Linked DNA regions of Lonchura striata. The protein of the gene in region 1 interacts with the protein of each later gene in a pairwise test. Links are inferred from orthologs where the notes say so. Each region holds a gene or a part of one and is shown in the gene's direction. Other genes may lie near its edges.

What was found.
Region 2: the proteins of LNX1 (region 1) and C1QTNF1 interact in a two-hybrid assay, tested with the Homo sapiens proteins (2 studies listed by BioGRID and IntAct). The two-hybrid records come from large-scale screens. The link is inferred for Lonchura striata from reciprocal best matches to the Homo sapiens genes LNX1 and C1QTNF1.

Annotation. Positions count from the first base shown.
Region 1 is NC_134606.1:26,797,688-26,808,439, reverse strand, and holds the start of LNX1 (E3 ubiquitin-protein ligase LNX), read left to right. Parts: upstream 1-5,708; 5' UTR 5,709-5,805; intron 5,806-10,752.
Region 2 is NC_134621.1:11,739,964-11,751,021, reverse strand, and holds C1QTNF1 (complement C1q tumor necrosis factor-related protein 1), read left to right. Parts: upstream 1-5,942; 5' UTR 5,943-6,055; intron 6,056-8,732; 5' UTR 8,733-8,746; coding exon 8,747-8,895; intron 8,896-9,010; coding exon 9,011-9,153; intron 9,154-9,493; coding exon 9,494-10,044; 3' UTR 10,045-10,205; downstream 10,206-11,058. Other genes in the region: CANT1 (soluble calcium-activated nucleotidase 1), read right to left, coding at 1,823-2,193, 2,633-2,836, 3,076-3,694.

The DNA of each region.
Region 1 (10,752 bases):
TATGCACATGGGAAGCTAGGTATTGCTCCAGCACTATAATGACAACACCGGGCTTAATACAAATATTGCTATCTCTAAAAAAAAACCAACAAACAAACAAACCCTAAAAAATAGATTGGAAGTGATGATGTATGCTAAATGCTGTCCTTTTTAAAGGTCTGATCTCTACTTGCTTTGATTTCAGTGCTGGTCTTCATCAGTGTCATTTTTAACACTGCACACTTGGACCACTGAATAGCAGCGATCCCCGGCACGATGTAGCGGATGGTGTTAAGACTCCAGCCTAATACTTGAGACGCCTTGGTTTTATTCCCTTCTTTGATGGTCTAATCCCAGATTCATCCCAGCTAAATTTAGGAACTGCCTGAAGTAGGAGCTTTGCCTCCTTTCCAGAGGAGCCAGGGAGGATGCTGGGCTGTGTCTCTCTATCCTATGTATTACTTAGAAGCTGGGGAGGGAGCTGAGGACATTGGGGAGGGGCTGGGAAAATATAAAGAGACTGGAAAAGAAGAGGGACTACTACCAAGCACTGAAGTGAAGGACTAACTCTCAGGTAAAATCCATCAATTTTCATCGCTGAAGTAGGAGAAATGGGAAAAAATGTTAAAAAAATGAGAAATGTTAAAAAAAGAGTGAGGAGGAGAAATATGTGGAGCATAGTGAGGCATGTTGAGACAGTAATGGGGAGAAGGGCAGGGAACTTTAATTTAGAGACCAATCCCAGCCTGTTTCTTTATGCACCAGTGCTGCATACCAAGTACTCTTGAGGATTTGAAAAAGCTAGCCTTTCCTTATGGACTTGTCACGCCAAAGCTTGGATTCTCTGTTACAATTAGAAAACAAAGTGACAGGCAAGCTGCTGTCTTTCCATAGATCTCTGGAAGAGGTTCAGAGGATGGGGTGAACCATACTCAGGGGAAAGAAGTGTTCACAGGGTTGCCAGTAGCAGCACTGCTTGGTACATCAGCTTACACAGAAAGTGCCCTCATGAAAGAGAAGAAATGGTAGATTGGCAGATGTTGTGATGTTGAGCATATGAAGATTAGAGCAGATGTAGTATTTAAGACTCTGTAGTATGTGGCTACAGATCATCACCAGAACATGAAGAGAAAAAAATCACTGGATTTCCACAAGCAGATGTTAATGCACCAAAGCTGGCTTCTTCTTAATGATTTGCCTTTTTGTTTGTTTGTTTTGATGAGTACAGCAAGTATGTTATTATGTGACTGTGGTAAAGAGCAGTGGTCTCTAATGATCACAACAGATTAATCCTTACGAAAGCTCTGTGAGTAGTAGCATTATTATTAATGCTGGCAAAAGTACTTAAAGGCAAAGTATGAATAAATGCAAGGTGTTCACATTAGCATTCTGTATGTTTGATAATGAACAGCCCCATGGACGTGCATTTGCTCTCACCATCTCCTCTGGAGCCTGCCACAGATGAAGAATGGGCAAAGTGTTGCACTGATCCTGAAGATGATTCTTGACTTTTAGGAAATGTCGTCCTACATCCTGTTGTAGCTTTGTTGTGGTTGTTGATATTGCTGGTTTCCTTTATTTCTGTAGTAGGAAGTCTGGGGGATTTGAAGCGTGTCTAAAATGCTTCTATTCATTTGTATCTTAGTGGACTTTGACTGTAATATGCAAAATAGCTTTATATAAAACAAATTACAAAAGTACATATAATTACAGAATATATATATATATGTATGTATATATAAATATATATATAATTACAAATAACCAAAAAGCTGTCACTCTACATTAAAAAAAACGAAAAGGAAGATGTTTAAAAAAAGGGGAAAATTAAATATTCCTGGCAGCTTCCCTGCAGCAGATCCACTATGCAGAAACCATGTAAAAATACTGACTTCCTCTCCCTCTATCATTATTCTCTTTCTCTACATTTATGATTTTTTTTAACTGTTTGATAATTTCTTTCTCATTCCTAACACAAGTTTCCTGAAAGTCTTGTTACTGGGTTGAGGGTAAAATCAGATTCAGAAGAAAGTTTCTATTTAGTGACTGGGCATGTGGAACTTCCCAGTAGCCTGTGAAACTTGGTGCTCCTGCTTCTTGGGCAGAGCTGTGCTTGGAGCAGCCACAGGAGGTGGTGCCCCACTCCTGAATCGCTAGATTTTTCCCCTGAAGGAAGAACCAGAAGCATCTCCTTGAAGCCTTACAGGTGGGGCAGCATCCTGCCAGTCAGCACCAGCTGTTAGCCAGTCACCCCTCCAGGCAGTGGCATCCTGAACACTTCAAGCTGCCTTGACTTGGTCACTTAATTGGATGGAGGGACAGGTTGAATTTTGCCCTCAGCTTCCTGAGCTTGTCTGCACAAGTCACTCCACTGTCCTTGTCCCTGCTGTGCATCCCCAAGTTCTATCTTTAAAGTGAGATAAAATGAGCTGCCAAGGTTTTGGGTGACTTGTCCAGGGTACCTTGATGGGTCATTTGGTCAAGCAAGGTGGGAGCAGATGTTGTTTTGTCAGCACAGATGCTGCCCTGGACAGAATGGTGTGTTCCTCAGCTCCTTGTCTCTTGGGAAAAGTCATCTGTGAATGTGCAAGAAACATGCTGGACCTTATGAACAACAACTGGAAAAGAGACAAGGGATACTGCTGTTTTATTTATTTACTCATGTGCTCCCAAAGTGGCAGTGTGGCCAGAAGCACTAATGGGGCTTTTTGAATATGGGTTCAGGAAATGCTCCTGGGGTTTCAGTCTAGGGCAAAGATGTCATTGGTGTGAGAGAAATTTTGGTCTGGGAATGAAGGTGTGTGTGTGTCCAGAAGGACTCTGACCAAGCTGTTCAGCATTTGAAGAGAGGGATGAAGGGAACCTGAAGATTATAAGCATTTCCCTGGAAAATAAAACCCTCAGGCCTTGACACACATCCTGTGGCATATAGCAGGCTGTTAACTAGGTGTTAAACTACTGAGTTTTATAGTGCATTCTTCATCACTGAGAGTTTTTGAAACCACAAGTTGATTTGTTAGTAAATGTAACTAAAATGGATGTGTTTAGTTCAAACTGGCATTCATTCAGGGAAGCCTTCTCACCTGTGTAGTAAGGCATATCAAATTGGATACTTGTGCTAGTCCTTTTGATTTATGAATTTATTAACATTTTTTTCAAATAGTGTGTTCACTGAATATATTTCACAGACTGGAAAAGATGTTCTGTGTGATTGTAAAACTTGTTGTGGTCAGCAGTTTGTAGTAATTTTTGAACAGGAATGCATTTTCCTGCAAAGTACAACTAACTTCCACCCCCTCCTCTTCGCCTCCACCCTGGCTTGTGAGTTGGTTCCAGTTTCAAATACTTAATCATGGGAATTTTTGGTGTTTTATATTCTGGATAGAATTCAGAGATTGCAAACTTTCTGTGATCCACTTTATTGCAGCAAGATTCTTTCCAGAAACATTATACTGTGTGTTGCTGTTTTGTGACTGGGGCATGTGGTAAATCTACTTCAAGAATGAGTCAGTGCCAGATTTCTATGTTGTCATGCATATAGACCAAAATAAGAAACATCTGTCCTTTTTTATTTAATTAATTGAAAAGAAATATATAAGTACAAACTATTATAGGTAATACAAGGTGATGCACAAGTGAAATAAAAAGAGCCACTTGGAAGCGTAGTCTGGAGTTTATTTTTAAAAAAGTAAATCACTAAATATTATTTACTAATAATTAATCTTGACATTTAATATTCTGCATCTCTCTAGGGGTCACCACTATTTGTCCTGTGATGATGACCTGTGTCTATGTGGAATGCTATTATCATCTTTCAGGGTCTGAAATCAATTGCAATTTTTCACCTCTGTTGAAGCTTGCTGTTGTGTTTTTACATATTGACTCCAATTCCATATTTTAGAAATTATTTTTTCTTTCAAAATGTTTTATTGCTGTGCTGTTCTTTGGGTCCTTCTTTAGAGGGACACATCCTTCCCTTCTGTTCACATTTTTCATGCAGAGCAGATTCAGCATAACTGTATGGAAACCTGTTCCTGGCCCTGAAAGCTAAAATTGGAAGTATACTTCTCGTAGGTTAGTGTAAATAAAACCCAATTAATTTTGCTTTAATAACTGCAGGCAGGATGAACCTTAGCTCAATACAAATTTTTCTATAAGCTCACAGGCAGTCCTCTCAATAAAGACAACAAAATTACTGTCATATTTATCATGCTGGGGTGTTTCAGCTCCATGGGATAAACTTGGCAGTGTTCTTCTGAGTTCTTGGAAAGCAGCCCTATACATCTCAGTTTGCAGCATTCCAGCAGATCAGGAAAAAACTATCTCTCTTTTTTCACCCTTCATATTTCATATAGTGATAGTGCTTTCCCTGAGTGCTTGTTACAGTTATTTTTTTGGAAAACAACATGCATTTTTCTGTACAATGTTGGCCGATAACACAACAAGACTATACCAGTGCTCTTCCCTTAGATTAAAAAATCTCAGTCTAAACAAGATTGAGAGAGTAAGGGTTGAGTGAAATGTTTTAGTTCAGAATTTCTTCATGAACCTAGGCAGAATTTTAATATGTTTTGGAAAAAAGCAAATTATTTATTTTGGGGGAAGGCAGGTTATAATTGTAGAAGCCTCTGTATCACCTTTAAAATATCATAAATATAACTAATATATAACTAATATAACTAAAATATAACTAAAGATTTACATAATTTTTATATTTGGTTCAAAATGCTTTGCAAATTTGATCATAAATATTTCATGTTCCTGAATGAAATAATTTCTTTTGGTTTACAGAAAACTTTGAAAAATAACTATAGTTTTTTTTAGCAGAATTGTAACCACTCAGATATTCAGTCACATGTGTCGCTCCTTGCCCTCATATTTAGAGCCTTCTCAAAATTACAGGAAGGTGTAAAATAGCAAATATTTTAAAATTTTTTTTTTCACTTTTGTTTCTAATTTTTCCTGAGCAGTGTTTGTCCTGTCTGGTACTTGCTGCCATGTGACTTCTTGTGACAATTCTGCCTTTGTGTGTGCATCAGTAACTTAAATGTTGGACACAGTGCTTTGGACTTTCGTTAAGACCAAAAAGTAATATTACTGAAAAAGTATTAGTCAGATACAATAGATAATTTTCTTCAAATTTCTACTTTATATTTGTCCTGCTGTTCTTCTAATACCTCATTAGGCACTTTTGCTTGCTCATGGAGACGTGCATTTCACAAGCATTCACTTCCTTTGCTCTTACGGTAGTTTTAGTTGTTGGTGATCATGACAAATTGAAATCGAGCAGTTGTAGCAGTTTAGTGAAGATTCAACAAGACAGGAATGTCAAGAGTGCACTAGCTTGTTTTTAGGAGCACTATCAATGCTCCCTTTATCCTGTGGGAACAGTTGTGCCTTTGTTTTGGTGGTGCTGTTTTTTGGAAGATGAGTGAATAAGAGACCATTGATACTTTTCCCCCCACAAAATCTCATGTGTGTTCTTTGCCTGGCATGCTGCTCTCTGAAGTGTAAAACTAGTGTGTCACTTGATTTTCACATATTTAAAGACCTAAAAATGGGGGAGGAGCAGTGAGTACCAACTCTGCAGGTACTACTGGATTATTTTATCCTGAGACTCATAAAATGAGGCTATTCCCTGGCAAAACCACGGAGCACCAGTGCCGGGTTCCCAGGCCTCTAACAACTAGACACGTGTTGATGAAGGATGAGGTAATTTCCAGATGAAGGGTGGACAGTGCTGCAGGAGTAACGGGGCAGGACAGCTGTGGTGGGGATGGTCTCCTCACAGGTGGCTCCCACCGTTGGGCTCCGTAGGCGTCTGAGGTAGGTCCCGCAGAGGGAAGGAGCAGGGAAGGTGGAGGAAAACAATGCGTCACTACCAGTTCGCTCTGTGCGTACCTATTTTTTTCATTCAGTTCTCCCTTTGGTTGTAACAGGACAGACTTTGCATGACAGATGGCTTATTGTTTCTCTCCTATAAGCTGCTAAAAGATTTCTGAGCAGGAACTCACAGTGTTCCTTTGGGAAAGGCACTTTGCAAGATCTGGGCACTGTCTTAAGGGACTCGAGATCCAAATCACGTAGACCATGGGCAGAAAAAAAGTGGGGGGGGCTTAATATGTAGCATTCAAAAATACATTTGCTGCTTGTACTAGACCCTCTTTAGTCTGGGATTCAGAAAACATAATGATTTCCAGATATAGCCAGTATTAAAAAATACAATGTTTTGGTGTTAAAATGTTAGTTGAAACTAATGGAAAAATACTGAAAATATAATCTTCCTGTAGAAAAAATCAATCTAAATTTACATATTGATAAGAAGCACAGGACCTTTAGAAACATCCATAATGAACCTTATGCTTTTGTAGATGGTAGAGAATGTAAGCAAATTTAATCAATTCTTTTCTAGTATTTTTTAGTTATTACAAAAATTGTGTCTAAATATAAGTATATAATAGTTGTGGAAATAAAATATACAGAATATTTCAGCTTAGATACTCAAGGTCTATCTGGTCTATACCCACAACAGCGAGTGGCTAGACCTCTGGCCCTGTATTTTAGTGCTAGAGGCCCTAAAATACAGGGCCAGAGAAGGCACACTACATAAGGAATGGTTACTCAAAATCAGGGAATATGTTCTGTGTAAATTTCTTTCAGAATTCTCTATACCATAAAGTAAGACAAGAGCCTGGCTCTGGCTGTTTCAGTTTCACAATAATATTTTTATGGATGTGGTATCAATTTAAAGCTCATCCTGTGGCTTTAATTCATCACATGAAAGCTGACTAATCTTTATGTATATTTGTGGATATTTTAGCAAGCACAAAATAACATTATGCTTAATAACAACTTATTCCTTTATTTGTTTTGTTTAAAGATATCATGAATATTGAAGAGCAAGTTTGATTAACATTAAATTTGTTTGTGGTTCTCAGGAATATCCAGTATCTTACAGAATCATGGTAGAAAGTAGTGGAAGAATAACCAGGTGTAGACTTGCAGAAGTAAACAAACCTAAATTTTTTTACCTTACGACTAAAAGAAAATGTGTTATACCTCTGGCCTGTCATTCAAAAGTTTTGGTGATATTCCTAAAAATACAGAAAAAAAACATTCAAACCTGGCCCTGTAAGAAGACAAAAGGTTACAATTTAAAAAACTCAAAAAGTGCCACCAGAAAAAGACAACTTTTGAGCAGGCTGGTGTGAGGTGCTGAACAAATGCAGAGCTGGACCCCTAAGTGTTTAGAGCTGGATCATGTAAAAGGCTACAGACAACAAGCTACTTGTTTCCTCTCAGGAATCATGTGAAAGCTTTCAAACCTTCCACAGTAGGTGAGATCTTACCTCCCTCTAAGTTAGTGGGGCTTTATACTGACTCACCTAGGAGCAGGCTTACATTCTCATGATCTGATAAAAGTAATGCTGAATGAATTAAAAATCATGTTCTCAGAGATGTTCTGGCTCGGTGTTAGACCTTTGAGTGATGCAATATCTTTTCTGTTTTCCTGTGAAGATCCATTACTTGATAAACCTCATTATTAGTTTTGGGGTATTTTTGTTATTGTTTCTTTTTCTTTAATGATTCCCATGTCAACTTCCCCAGATTTGAATGACATAAGGAGCTCCCTTGGTGACCAAATTCCTGTTAACAGTTTAAATGTGTTCGGGGAAGGGAGGAGGATTTGCACTCAGCAAAGGATCTCCAGCTCACAAGCTCTTATTTTATTCTTTTTACTTGAAGCTTCATAACAAGGATGATTTATTTGCAAATGAGTTACTTTAATAATAGGTTTAGAGTTACATAGAATATAGACAATCTTGACCCCCATCTCTGCAGCTGTAAAAGTAACAGCATGGGTGTGGTTGCCTGGTGGCTGGCCAGGATGATCCAGTTCAAGGGGGTGGATAAAATAACATTTACACTTACAGTAACTGTTTAAAAATGTAATTTGAGTTCTGCCAAATCCTTCCAGTTCATTTTGGGAATCCAGCTTATTAAGGCTGCCAACACTCAATTCTTCACACCTTAGTTTCTTCCAAGTTGTCTCCTTCTGCCAGATGCATTTTGCTGCAATACTGTCACTGCAGAGCATGAGGTTCCTCCACCAGCCTTGCTGTGTACATGGTTCTGGTGGGACTCTCCTTGCTGTGAGCCTGCCCAAGCAAGAAGTGACTGAGCCTGGCCCGTGAGACTCAGCATGGAGGGAGGACGCAATCCCAGAGGAAGTGTTCCACTTACAGACAGCTCTGTTTGTGTCTGCTGCAGTAAATGCTCCCAAGACAAGTAGGGTCAGGCATTTGTTGGATCTTGAGAAAGCATGTGGTGGAGAAGATGGAGGCTTGGAAGCTGGAACTTGTCGGTCTGAGTTGGAATTTCAGAAGTGTTCCCAGGCAGTGTGGGCAATGGGAATCAGGCACCATGTCTAAACAACAGAATGAGGTCTTGAACACTTTGCAGACCCACAGCTGCTTAAAAAGGGGCAAGTGTTGTCTGAAATAGCCAGTTCGCTCCAAATGGACTAAGTGCTCACTCTCTCAGTGTTCCTGCTAAGGCAGCACTTGTTTGAGGACACAGGGTGATCCTGCACTGTGGCTGGCAAGGCTGTCACACATAGCTTTGCTGTGTCTAGTCCTTGCAGCTCTAACCTGCCTCACCACAGTGCTGAGCAGTTGTGAAGTGCTGCAGCACTCTGGAACAAAAAGTGGAAGGCAGCAGTTATGGATAGGAATAGCAATCACTTCCAGTGCCATACTGTGAGCTGTGCTTACTCGTGTAAACTGATGCATTATAGGGGTTTTTAGATAAGGAGCCCCAGCAGGGTGGTGCTTGGGCTGCTGCTGCTATTGCAAAGAAAATTGTTTCAGAGAGTTTGCAGTCTCTGCTGTTTCAAGGTCTATGTTCACAGCAAGTCAGTCCAACCCAGCATTTGGGAATACTCACAAAGCTCTTGCTAACACCAACCTGTCGCATGACAGCATCCATAACTAATGCAGAATGGTTCACAGATCTTAAGACCTTAGGGTCCACTGTCTGCCCCGTCTTTATTATACCATCATATTTCGTTCACTTTGGGTAAAATACGTGTTTTTCAAATCAGCATCTAGTCTTGAATATGAGAGAGGTGTAGAATCACCTCTTCAGTGACTTGTTCACATGGCAAATTATTGCATGAACTTGTTAAATCAATCTTTCTCCCTTGAATTTAGCAAAGTTCTTCAGGTTAAAAAGATGTGCTTTTTTTCAGATTAAAAAGCAGTCTTAGTACCTTTTCTTTGTGAAGGTATACACAGGTGCACATGGTCACCAAGTCAGCCTTGTTTTGTGTCTTGATCCTGCAGTGTTAAGATTTGTGTTCTTTTGTCCACTATCTTCTCTTATCCAACACAATTAGAACCCTTTGCTGATTTCAAACAAGTTTGAAAGAGTGTAGAAGTCTCAAAGAAACTTCTTGCAGGCTTGATGAAAAATTGGCCTGGGCAGAGGAGAGAGATTCAGACAAGGGAGACCTCATGTGCCATACACTATTTGGCAGCACATGGCCAGCCAGTCAGTGGGAAGGTATTTATAGGCCACCTGCAGTACACATTAGAGGAGTCAGAATAGACACCAAACTGGGAAGACTTTTCCTCAAGTTTTGTTTACATCAAGCCCATTTGCACTAAAAAATTATATGAATTTATGCATCAGGAAATGTGCTGTTCATAGAACATGTTCTCTTTATTTTTTTTATAAAACTTATTGGTTTTAACTTTTTAAGCTTTTCAGTAAATTCTATTTTCTTCTGCTCTCAAGTCCTCTGTGTCTTCTTGTCTTTCCCTTTTACTCTCTCCAGATTTTTCAAAACCTAAAGTATGTGTACCAGACTATATGACTATATGTACAAAACTGTTACTGATTTTAACAATGTCTTGTTCACAGACTTACTTTCTCCTTTCTTCAAAACTTTCCAGCTTTTCTTGCTGTAGCTTTGAAAGGTGAATGTTGCTTATGTGTCATGAACCCCAACTAGACCTTGTAGCTGATGATTTTTAATGTGGTGACTACCCAGTTCTGCAGACAGAGGCTGTTTCTGAAAGCATGGCCATTCTTGGCTCTGGACACAGTCTCTAGAATAATGTGAGGAGTTTTCCAGATCACTCTATTCAGCCGCTGTGGTATTCTCAGCAGGGCAAGAAGCCCTTAATCAAATTAGTTTTAGCTGATAATTATTTTTTCTTCTACTGAAGTAAAATACCATAGCGCTTTTGAATAGTGCCCAAAAAACTCTGAAATAGAAATGAACAAACTACATTGTCTCATATATGAGAGCTAAAAATTACATCACTGATGGAGTAAGACATCACTGAGGACAATATAATAATATTTTAGAATAAATCTGCTCATTTTCCATAATACACTGACTTTCAGTTAGTCTGCAACAAAAAAGTGGTGGCTTGCCTGAGGTCCTACATACATGGTGTCAGATGATCATCAGTGTCTTTAGAACCACTGCATATAGACTTTATGAACATATAACTCTGCATTTAATTTTATATTAAATTATTTTATTTATTACTATTTTTTATTTTAAATTTATTTTATTTTTATATTTTCCTTACCAGGAGAATATTCTTAACAAGTTCATTGAAAGCCATTGGATACTCCTTTTTGAATTTCCTTTAAAAGTTTTGAAACTCTGCATTTTCTATAGGAAACTCAATGTTGGTTTTTAAAGGAAAATCACTATAAAAATCTTCAACACCTTTAAATAAGGTGTGGATATTTCTT
Region 2 (11,058 bases), on another chromosome or scaffold:
CACAGCAGGTGCTGTGGAGCTGTTGGTGCTGCTGAGGAGGGTGAGTGAGGCCAGGAGAGACTGCCAAGCCAAGTGCCAGTGACGCTTGAGTGGCATCATGGACTGTGGCCAGCTGGCGCCCAGTGTGAGCTGCAAATGCATCCTGGGTGCTCTGGGCCAGGTGCTCCACGATCCCCAGGCCATGTGCAGGGGCCAAAGCCAGGCCTGTCTGCAGCACTGGGGACAGGTCCTGTCTAGAGACAAGTGCAGCCCAGCACTGGCCGAGTCATCGTCTGGGCTAAATGAAAACACATGTCTGGCTTGCACGGCTCACAGAGGTGCTGACACTGTAAACAGGGCTGGGGGGAACAGCCTGGCTGGGTTCTTGGGAGGGCCCCAACCACTCTGCGGATTCCTCCACCCAACCACAGCCTGACTGCTGCACCGACAGCCCCTCTCCCTCCCTGTGCATGGCTGGACCCCACAGCAGAGCAGTGCCCGGGCATGGCAGAGCGATACAGGGGGCACAAGGGCCCCCCAAACCATAGTGGCCAGCTCTCTGAAGCCCTACTTGCTGGCAGACCTGCCCTAGGGGCAGTGTTAAAAAGAAACAAAGTGGGGACACAACAGAGCCAAACACTGGTCCTGGTGTGAGGATATGCTGCCCTGTGACCTGGGGCAGGGCAGACCTGAGCCAGGTCAGTGTGGGCAGGCCAGGAGCCACAGCCTCCTTGGTCAGAGGGGTCAGAAGGGTCCTGGGGCTAGCAGATGCCCCTTTGACACTTGTGGCTTCTGAAACAACACAAGTTCCTCCTGGGGGCCACAGGCTACGGCAGCAATTTCACAACATGCTGGCGAGCATGGGGAGGGCTCCCTGGCCAAAGCCCTGGGCTGCTGCGAGTGCTTCTCAGCTGCTGCCAGCTCTGGCAAGCAGAACTGCAGCTCCTGCCTCTGCTCCTGCATCGAGCACAGCAGCCCTTGGACAGCATGGCTGCACTGTCGCCAGCTCCCAGCAGTTCCTGCCCAGGGCTCAGCTCTTCCCAGAGCTGACAGTTCCGGGGCGGGAAGCATTTCTGGGGCTGGAGCCACGTGCAGCCAGGCCTCGGAGAAGACAGCCAGCACGCACACACACCTCTTGAGGGTGTGGTCTGGGAATGGCGCCAGGGTGGGCCCACTTTACATCATCCCCTGCCCCTTAGGCACAGCCACAGTGGTGAGGGAACTGCTGCCTCCTCCGTGGTCACAGGAGCAAAGGGACACAGACAATACCCCCTCCCATGCAGGACTTTTCTCTGAAACAGGCCACCCGCCACCCCAGCCATCACCTCATCCAGCTTATGGGAAAAGGGAAGGAAATCCAGCTTCTGAAGTAAAAGCCTGATGAAATCCCCACAATCTGACCTGCTCAGGCTGCACATCCCCCTCCACCCAGGGAGCCCCATGGCACACAAGGCACAGCTGTAGAGTTGGGGCTCAGCTGCAATCCCAGAACAGGGACGTCACCAGAGCCACCGACCCACTGCAGATGGCTCTGTCGCAATTCAGGGCAGGGCACTAAGGGCTGCAGTGGGGCCTGTCTAGGCACCAGCACTCCAGGACCTGACACTGTCTCGGGGCCGGGAGCACCCTGTGGTGGCGGTCCATTGCCACCAGGTGCCACTGCCGAAACACTTGCACCACACCTGCTGCAGCTCAGTCAACACTTTACAGGAGAGCCCAGGGCCAAGGACACAGCTGGGAGCACTGCCTGACATCCCTCATGGACCCCGGGCTAGAAGCAGGCTTGCAGGGCCTGCCCATGTCCCTAAGCTGCCCGCATGCCTCCACTCGCTGCAGATGTCTGTTAAATAAACTCAATGCCCTCGTACTTCACGCTCCCAATCCTGGTCTCAGGCAGGAGGAAGCGCCCATCCAGTGTGAAGGCCATGATGTAGCTGGAGATCTTGCCATTGTCCTCTTCAGATTTTAGTGCCACGATGATCTGGTCGTCCGTGTCCGGGATGAACTTGAAGGAGGAGAAGCCATGGGTGGGAACCACATCGCCCACGCGCCCCACTGTCACATCCCCGAAATCCTGGGTGGAGCTGAGCAGCAGGTTGGTGCCTCGCTGCTCGTCCGCCTTCTCGCTGTAGCGCTCGTGGCTGGCGCGGCGCGGCAGGAAGAACCAGCGCTGCAACGTGTCACTCCAGGAGGCCGACTCGTGGATCAGGTACCCTGCGGCAGGAAGCGGAGTCTGACCACACAGACCACAGGGGCACAGCCACGCCAGGATGGGACCCTCCCCCTCCTCTCCTCCTTCCCTTCCAAAACACCCCACAGCCCCGCACAGGTATCCCCTATGAACTTTTTTGCCTGCTCCTGCCCCACTGCCTGGCAGCAGCTCCCCAGTTCCTCCCAGAGTCAGGCAGGGCCACACAGCACATCCCAGTCTGCCTGGGAGCCCAGCTGCCAGGCCCAATGACAACTGAGCCACCCTTCAGATACTCCTGGCACAGGCAGCAGAGGAAAACGACCACGACAAGGTGAGATCTCTGGCCTCTGGCAGCCTCTAAATCTCACCCAGTGCCAGCATCCCTGGGAAGGGTGACTGTATGGCTCTGGAGCCATCAAGAGTGTGGGATATTGGGTGGCAGGAGGTTGCCCTACTCCATACCTGGGGGCCGGATCCCCGCTGCAGCCCTCAGTGTGTTGTAGTTTGTCACCCAGTTCTCGTGGCTCACATCACCCTTGTAGCCAATGACCTTCACCCACTGGGGGTTCTCATTCACCACTTCCCCTGTGGTGGTGGTCCACTCCTTGCCCAGTCCTCCTACATACAGGTGCTCATCCTTCACTGCCAGCCACTCTGCCTTGAAGCCTGTGGTGGAAAGAATGGCATGAGGTGGCTCAGTCAGCACGTAACCATCAGACTGTCCCACATGCCTCAAACCCCACACCCCTGAGCCCAGTGCCGGGCACAGTGTCCCCCACATAGCCAGCTGGTTGCTTGGCAGGAAATGCCCTCTCTTGGCCAGGCTCAGAGGTCACAGGAAAGGTGTGCCCCACCCCAGCAGGTGAAAAGAGCCAAGGGCTTCACAGGGCAGAATGGGAGCTCACCTTTGCCCACAGTGCCGTCCCCATCTGGGAGGATCACCCAAGGCACCACCTTATTGCCCTCGATCTGGTAGACCACACCTGTCCGGTCATCCACTGCGTACAGCTTCCCATTGAAAACCACAAGCTCTGAGAGCTCCATGCCCCGGCCCTTCTCAGCCAGGTGGGACTGCAGCATGCTCTCATCCTTGTCCCACTCCACCATCACTCTGTCCCCACTGTCTGACAGTACCAGGTAGCCCTTCTTCAGGTAACTGAACCAGGTGTGCTCCTGAGAGCCCCGGGACTGCGTGTCCAGGTCTGCAATGACGCCGATGCGGTAGCGCACGCCCTCGGGGTTTCTCTGCGGAGGGGACAGCGGGTAGGTGTCATTGTAGCGGTCCCCTGCCTGCAGGCCAAGCTGCCAGGTGCGAGGGCTGGGGGGGCCATGCCGTGCTGGGGAGGAACGGTGCAGGCAGAGGAGGAACAGCACAAGCCCCACGCAGGCTGAGGACAGCACGATGGCCTTCCAGCGCGGTCGGAAGCGGGGGTCAGCACCCTTGGTCATGGACGCGAGGACAGGCAGACCACCCACGCTGATCCGGAGGGGGCTCATAGACTCATGGCAGGGCGGGACTGGCATCAGACAGGGGGCGAGGAGAACCTGCTAGAAAGAGGGGAGAGAGAAGAGCTGATTTGGTGCTGACTGAGCTGGGGGAACAACAGAACACAGCCATGAGGAGCCCCATCCCCTCTTCTGCTGCAGAAGGTGCTCCCACCCCATGCAGGTACGAGCCACCATACACAGGGGCTGTTTGCTGCTGGAACTACCCTCAGCTCTTCTCACCTGGCTCCCTCTGCGCCCCCTGACCAGGAGCCCCAGCGTCTTGGCAGGATTGCATGACCTGCTCAGCACTTCTACATGTGCCATGGTCACTGCAGCTCAGGCAGCGAGCTGAGGCACCCGGCTCAAGGCAAGCCTCATGTCACTGTGTCCACGTCCCCACAGGCTCCTCGGAGGAAGTGGGTTCCCCTCAGGCAAGGATGACCCTTGCTGCCTCCAGAGTGGTTGAGCAGCCTGGCCCAGCTCCCATGGCCCTGAGAACCGACCCCACTGATGAGCCTTGAGCTTGTCCCCAAGCCACACAGGGACACTTGAGAGACACGTGGCAGCTCCGCCCAAGCAGGATGCCAACACCTGAGCAGGAAGTGCAGTGCCCAAGGGACACACATCCTGACCTGCCCAGCCTCACAGACACGGGACCCCCTCACCCTGCCCAGGCTCACAGCGTGTCCTCCACGTGTGAACATCGTGAGCCCACCCCGGGCTGTGCCCACCCGCGGGCCCGGGGTGCCAGCAGTGCCCTTCGGTGCCACCTCCCTCCCTGCAGCACAGAGGACGTGGCAGCGCCCCGGGCTCCCGCAGACGGGCACTCCGAGCTGCCCCGCCGGCAAGCAGCCATCACTGGACCCGTGCTCAGCCCGTGCCATGCTGCCCGGTGCAGAGACCCCCATCCCGGGGCAGAGATCCCCAGCTGCCATCCCAGGGCTTTCCACAAAGGGCCCATCCCGCAGGGTCTCAATCTGCCTTTCATCAGCCAGAGTGGCAAACAGAGGCGGCATTGAACGTGGGGGGCCGGCCCCGGACAGGGGAGCTGCGGCACAGGCACGGAGCCCACGCTGGGGGCACGGGAGCGCTTCTCGTCCTGCGGCACCCCGGAGCGTGGGCCTCGGCAGAGCCCCGGGGACCCCTCTCGGTGCACTGACACCCCCCCCGTGTTTGTAGCCCGGTCTGAGCACGGCCACGGCGAACCCTCAAAATGCCGGGGCACGGTCACGGGGACCTCCGGGCAGGGACACGGGGACTCCTCGCCCCCTTGGGGACCCTCGCGCCCCCTCCCCGGCCGAGCTGACGGGCAGCTGGGGCACCGCCCGCACTGAGCGCGGCCCTGAGCTCCCCCGCGCCCCCGGGACCTCCGCGCGGGGCGTAGTCCCGAGGAGCCCACCACTGCCGCCCGGGCAGGCTGCTCGAGGTCCGCGGTGCCCCCGTCCGGTGCGGACCCCCGCCTGCCGGCCCCGCGCCCCGCGCCCCCGCCCGTGTCCCCGCTCACCGCGCCACCGCCTCCCCCGCGCGCAGCCGCCGCCGCCACCGCCTACAGTTCCCGGCGGCCCCGCGCGCCGCCGCCGCGCCTGGCAGCGGCCAGACCGCCCCGTCTGGCGGAGAAACTACAACTCCCAGGAGACCCCGAGAGCCACCACCTCCCACCGCCCCGCCCGCTGCTCCGCGGGGCCTGCCGGGAGCTGTGGTCCGTGCCGAGCACGGCCCGCCGGAGCCGGGCGCACCGCACGGGCGGCTGGAGCCCAGCGGCGGGGGCAGTGCGGGGGCCGAGCCGGCTCTGCGGGGTGGGCACAGCCCGGCTGCCCGGCGGGCATCACCCCCGCGCTGCCCTGCTCCAGCTCGCAACATAACTCTGTCCTTGTCCTGGTTGCCCCTTGTGTCCCGCCGCTAGTCGGGGTGGGGAGCGGGGTAGACCCAGCCCCGCGCCTTGGGACCCATGTACGTGTCCGGCTGTCAAAGGCTGGAGACCGGTGGGGCCGTGCTGGCCGCGGTGCCCTCGGGGCTGAGAACGGCCTCGGCGCCGCCGGCACAGGGCAGGGTCCTGCGCCGGGGCGAGCTGCACCCTCCGGCTGGCACGTGCCGCCTCCGCTCCCGGTGCGGCGGCCCCAGGTGGCTGAGGCGGCCGGTACCGGGAACACGCATGGTTAATGTTATGAACGGTTAAGGCAGCCGCGGGCGCACATCTGGCGGGGGAGGGCTGCGAGCCTCGTCCCGCGCCTCGCTGCCTCCTGCGCTTCCAAAAAGTGTATTTCCGCCCGGGCCAAGCGGGGAGAGGCGGCTCTGGAACGGGAGGCAGCGCTCGGCCGTGGGCAGGCTCTGCGCTGGGCCGGGCGATGCTCTAGGGCAGCAAAGGCAGCGCCGCGAGGGAGAAGCCGTGCCCCAGAGGTAGGTGGGGGGCAGCTGCGGGAGACCTGACGCTCGCCCCCGGAGCTGCAGGGGCCGTGCTCCCGTCTGCGGGCGGTGCCGAGGTACCGGGAGGCGGGTCCGCTTCGCCAAGCGCTCGGGTGTCCTTGCAAAAGCCCAGCCAGGCGGGTCGGTCCCTGAGCCCCCCCAGCCGAGCCAGGCCGCTGTCCTGCCTGCGAAGGAGCAGTGGGGACCACATGGCTGAGCCTTACAGTAGTCTGGGGCACAGCCCGACCCACCGCAGCTCTGGGAGGACACAGATCCCCCCCAGCCCTGCCCCAGCTGCGTTCCCAAAAAACTCATGGCTACGACCACATCAAGCCCACGCTGGGCTACCTTCGGTATCTCTTTGGGGGTCACAGTAGCTGTTGGGGTCCCCAGCACAACATCTTGCTGGTGCTACAGAAGTTGGAGGGCTGCAACTACCCCGGGCTCCTTCCCCACATCTGCCCCATGCAACCCACACCCTGCTGCCTGCTGGCTCTGCCCTGCTCCAGGGGAAAAAGGGCTCTGTAACCATTCCAACATCAGCAGCAGCACACAGGGGACCTGGCCCACCAGCTGGACCCCAGAGGCACAATGGTTCTGGCTGCTGTGGTGCAGGGAAGTTTGTGTCCACCACCCTAAACAAAGACGATTGCAGGTACTGCTGCCTCCACACTGCCCCAAGCCCCTCATCCCTTCCCTAGGATTTGTTCACTTTCATCCTAGTCTTCATCTCCAGCTGGAAAGTATTTTGGGATGTTTTGACTTGCAGTCCCAAGGCTTCTGCAGCCACTATGTTTAAATCTTGCTCCTGGAGAGCAGCCAGCCCTGAGGGAAAATGCATATCCCTGGCAGGGCTGTGTACACCTGTGTGCAGGTGGGCACCTCCTGCCCAGCACGCCTGCAAGGTACAGTGGGGGCATGCTGGGGACCCAGCAAACCCCGTGTGCTGCTGACAGCAGCCTGCACGCACCGCACACTCGCCTCTGCTCCCAACAGCCTGGGAAGCGCTGCCTTCCACCATGGGAACTTCCTGGTGAAGGGTTTCTCCTTGTGGAGCAGCTCCCTGTGACACTGCGTTTTCCCCAGGGCCAAGCCTGCTCCAGGTCCCAGAGGAATGCCTGGCGTGACGGTCCCAGAGCTGAGGGAAAGCCACAGGCTTCCCAAACCTCGGCACGCCCGTGCCGTGCTCAGTGCTGTGCGTCCGGCGCAGCTGGAGGCCCGGCAGGCTGAGCAGAGCCAGGGCCAAGGCTGCCCACAAGGCCCTGGCTGGCCTCCTCCACGCCCTGTCCGTGGATCCACTTCTCCCCTGCCTCCTCCAACCTGGCAGCACCGAGGCAACGGGATGAGAGACAGAGACACCGGGAAATGTATGCCGGGGCCAGGCCCTTGGCAGAGGGTTTGAGCAGCAGGAAAAGCCCTTTGGAGTCTTTTCCAATCCCTCCGCCCCTTCACAGCTCCAGTGACTCATAATCCAGGCATCCGGCCCCGGCCTCAGACGCCCTCCGCACCCGCTGCGGAGCGCACGCGGTCCCTCGGACCCCGCACCCCGGGACAGTGGGACAGCCACCGACTGGAGACCCCGGTGCTCTGAGAGCAGGCGCTCACCAAAACCACGGGGTTCTGCCCCAGAATCCGCCATGGCCCGGCTCAGCCGCAAAACACAGGACAGGGTTGAGAGGGCGCTTTGCCCTTGGGACCGGCGCTCCGGGGTCGCGGCGGAGCCCGTGGAGTACAGCCGGGCGGGACGAGGGCCGAGGTCACACCCACGGCCCAAGCCAGGGAGGCACCTGGCTGCGATAGCAGCGGGGACAGCGGCCGTCCCCGTCCCGGCTCGGAGCCTGCTGCCGCGGGATGCCCAGCGCTGGGCAGTGCTACACCCCTGTTTGGCCAAGGCTGTCCCGGTGCCACCGGGCCAAAGGGCGAGGTGCTGCGTGCCCGGCCCCACGTCTCCAGCAGATACGGTCCTGATAATAGAGGGAGGGGTCGTGAAGTCCCCGGGCTGGGCCACAGTGCCACCACCACTGCAAATATTAGTTTTGGCCCCATACAGGGTGTGGGCTTTTGGGAAGGTTTCAGCCAGCTCCCAGATAGGGCTGCCAGCCCACGTCCCTCTTTCTGGAACAGTGGGTGTTGCCCCCTTGCAAACCCTTGGGCTGGCAGCCCCCAGGGCACAGGAGCCCCTCACAGGAGTGGGGTGCAGCTGCCCTCTCTGGGCCCGGCTGGGGTCCCACACACAGGTCGGGCTGCACCCTGACATTTGCCCCATGGCATCTGGAGCTCTCTGTAACTTTTTAGGTGCTGACATCCTAAATTGCTGTTCTTGGGTGTCTATGGGAGGCAGCTGAAACCAGGCTGAGCAGGAGCAGCAGCACTTGGTCCAGGACTTGGCCCGCTCAGAGTCTGCTGCTCTGCTCCACTCTCAGCTCCTGAGGTAATCCCATCTGCCGTATGTGCCAGGGCTCAGGGGCTGCACATGTTGGTGAGGCCAGAGCCCCCTAACTGCCTCAATGTGGGTCTCCACCGGTGCTCACTGGGGTGACACTGTTCCATAGCCCAGCCAGACCCCAGGGGTTGTGCAGTGCACAGGTCCTGTCCCAGGACAGCTTGGGGCATGGCTGGGCTGGGAGTCTCCTCATTCCTGTCCCACTCAGCTGTCCCTGGCACCTCACAGGGCACTGCCAAGGCATGGAGGGGCTGTGGGTGCAAGGTGTCCTGCTGATCTTCCTGCTGATCTTCCTGCTGCCCTGCCCTGTGGGGAGCCAGACCAGCTCCATCCCTGCCCAGCGATGGTGGACAGACCCCAATGAGGCCCCATCCCAGCACCAAGCTGCCAGGTGAGGGGACCCCAGAGCCAGGGTGCTCTGCAGCCGGGGCCAGGGCAGCCCTGGCACTGGAGAGGGGTCCCAACCCCCATAGCTGCCTGTTGCACTTTGCTTTCTGCCTTGCCAGGGCCACACAGGAGCAGAAGGTTGATGATGCCCAGGAGGGGCTGCCCCCACAGCCCCGCTGTGTCCGCTGCTGCCCCCCACCCGAAAAGCGCTTCTACCCCCACTACCAGCCTGTGCCTCAGATCAACATGACCATCCTGAAAGGTGAGGGCTGGCAGGACCCCAGGCTGTGTTGCCAGCATTGCCCCAGGTCCAGTGCTGAGCTGGGCTCACAGTGCCAGCTCCTGCACAGACTGGGAATGAGAAACTGGGGTGGTGCCAGTGGTTCTGTGTCCTGCACAGACAGGGCAGGAGCCACACTTTGGTGTGAGCAGCCCCTGTTGTGGTGGCTTCTAGGCAGCAGCATCAGAGCCTCGGGAGGGGCAGGGGCAGGACTGGTAGGTCCCTGCTCCTTCCATCCCCCTCTGGGGAAGGGGCTTTTGGGGTGCCGGGTTCAGCTGTGGCCCCTGCCTGACAGCCCAACTCTCCCTCCTGCTCCACCCAGGAGAGAAGGGGGACCGCGGTGAGCGTGGCATGCAGGGCAAGTTCGGCAAGACGGGGGTGGCTGGCAGCAGGGGCCACGCAGGGCCCAAGGGACAGAAGGGCAGCATGGGCGCCCCTGGGGAGCGCTGCAAGAGCCACTACGCTGCCTTCTCCGTGGGCCGCAAGAAACCCCTGCACAGTAACGACTACTACCAGACCCTCATCTTTGACACGGAGTTTGTCAACCTCTACGAGCACTTCAACATGTTCACGGGCAAGTTTTACTGCTACATCCCTGGAATCTACTACTTCAGCCTCAACGTGCACACCTGGAACCAGAAGGAGACATACCTGCATGTCATGCACAATGGGGCAGAGGTGGTGATCCTCTACACCCAGGTGAGCGACCGCAGCATCATGCAGAGCCAGAGCGTCATGCTGGAGCTGAAGGAGCAAGATGAGGTCTGGGTACGGCTCTACAAGGGTGAGCGTGAGAACGCCATCTTCAGCGATGAGTACGACACCTACATCACCTTCAGTGGCCACCTCATCAAGTACAGTGGGGACCCCTGAGCACCGGGCCCTCCCACTCCTGTGCCAGGCCAGGTGGCTGAGGAGCCCCTGTCCCTCTCATCCCAGGAGTGCCACCCCCATTATGCTGTTAGTCACCCTAGTGCCACTACCCCAGCAGCTGCACCAGTGTGTGAATTCCCTCACTCCAGCACCTCAAGGCTAACCACACACACCTGGAAGACGGAGCAATTGTAAGCCCCTGCCACGTTGGTGACCAGGAAGCAGCTGCTCACCTGGGGTGGGCAGGGAGCTCACCCCTTCTCTCTGCTCCAGACCTGGGTTTGCCAGGCTCAGCCTGTCACAGCTCTGGCTGAGCTGGCACAGCAGGACAGTGTGGCCGCTGGTGCCCTGGTGCGAGGCAGCGCAGACACCTGCACTGTGCCATTTTCACCTCCTGGCTCCTGGCTGTGCTCCCTGGCTGGAATGGGCAGAAGGTGCTCAGCACCATCCAGAAAGGCAATAAACCACTAAGGGCCTCCTTCCTTCCCTGGTGCAGGTGTTGCAGTGGGGGGCTGGGTCCCCCTGTGGGGAGTGAGTTTCATCAGTTCCCTCTGCAGATTCTGTTGCTGCTCACTGCAGCCTCTGCTCAGGAAGGGCTCTCTCCCCACCAGCAGCCCTGGGTGTGGGGCCTCTGGCCTCAACCACTTCCTCTTCCCTTAGGTTATCTGCTGACCAGGCCTCCTGTTTGTGTAGATGCAGCAGCAGCATGGGCCAGCATGCTGACCCCCTCATTCAGCTCACACCACATTAAACACCTCACATTTCCAGCCTTGCTCACACCCTCAGTGTCCTCGTTTTGTGTGTGGAGAGGCTCCAAGTGATTCAGGGCAAGGTTCTGCTCCTGGGGTGCAGGGGCTCCCCAAGAGCTGAGGGCTGGCATGGTGCTGCTGGGCTGGGGGTGGAAAGGGAAGAGCAAACTGTCCCTGGAGAGCTGGGAGACGTGTGCCAGGCACTGCATGGGCCAGCTGTGCCCCAAGGAGCTGCGTGCGTGACAGAACTGTCAGGCTGGGAACA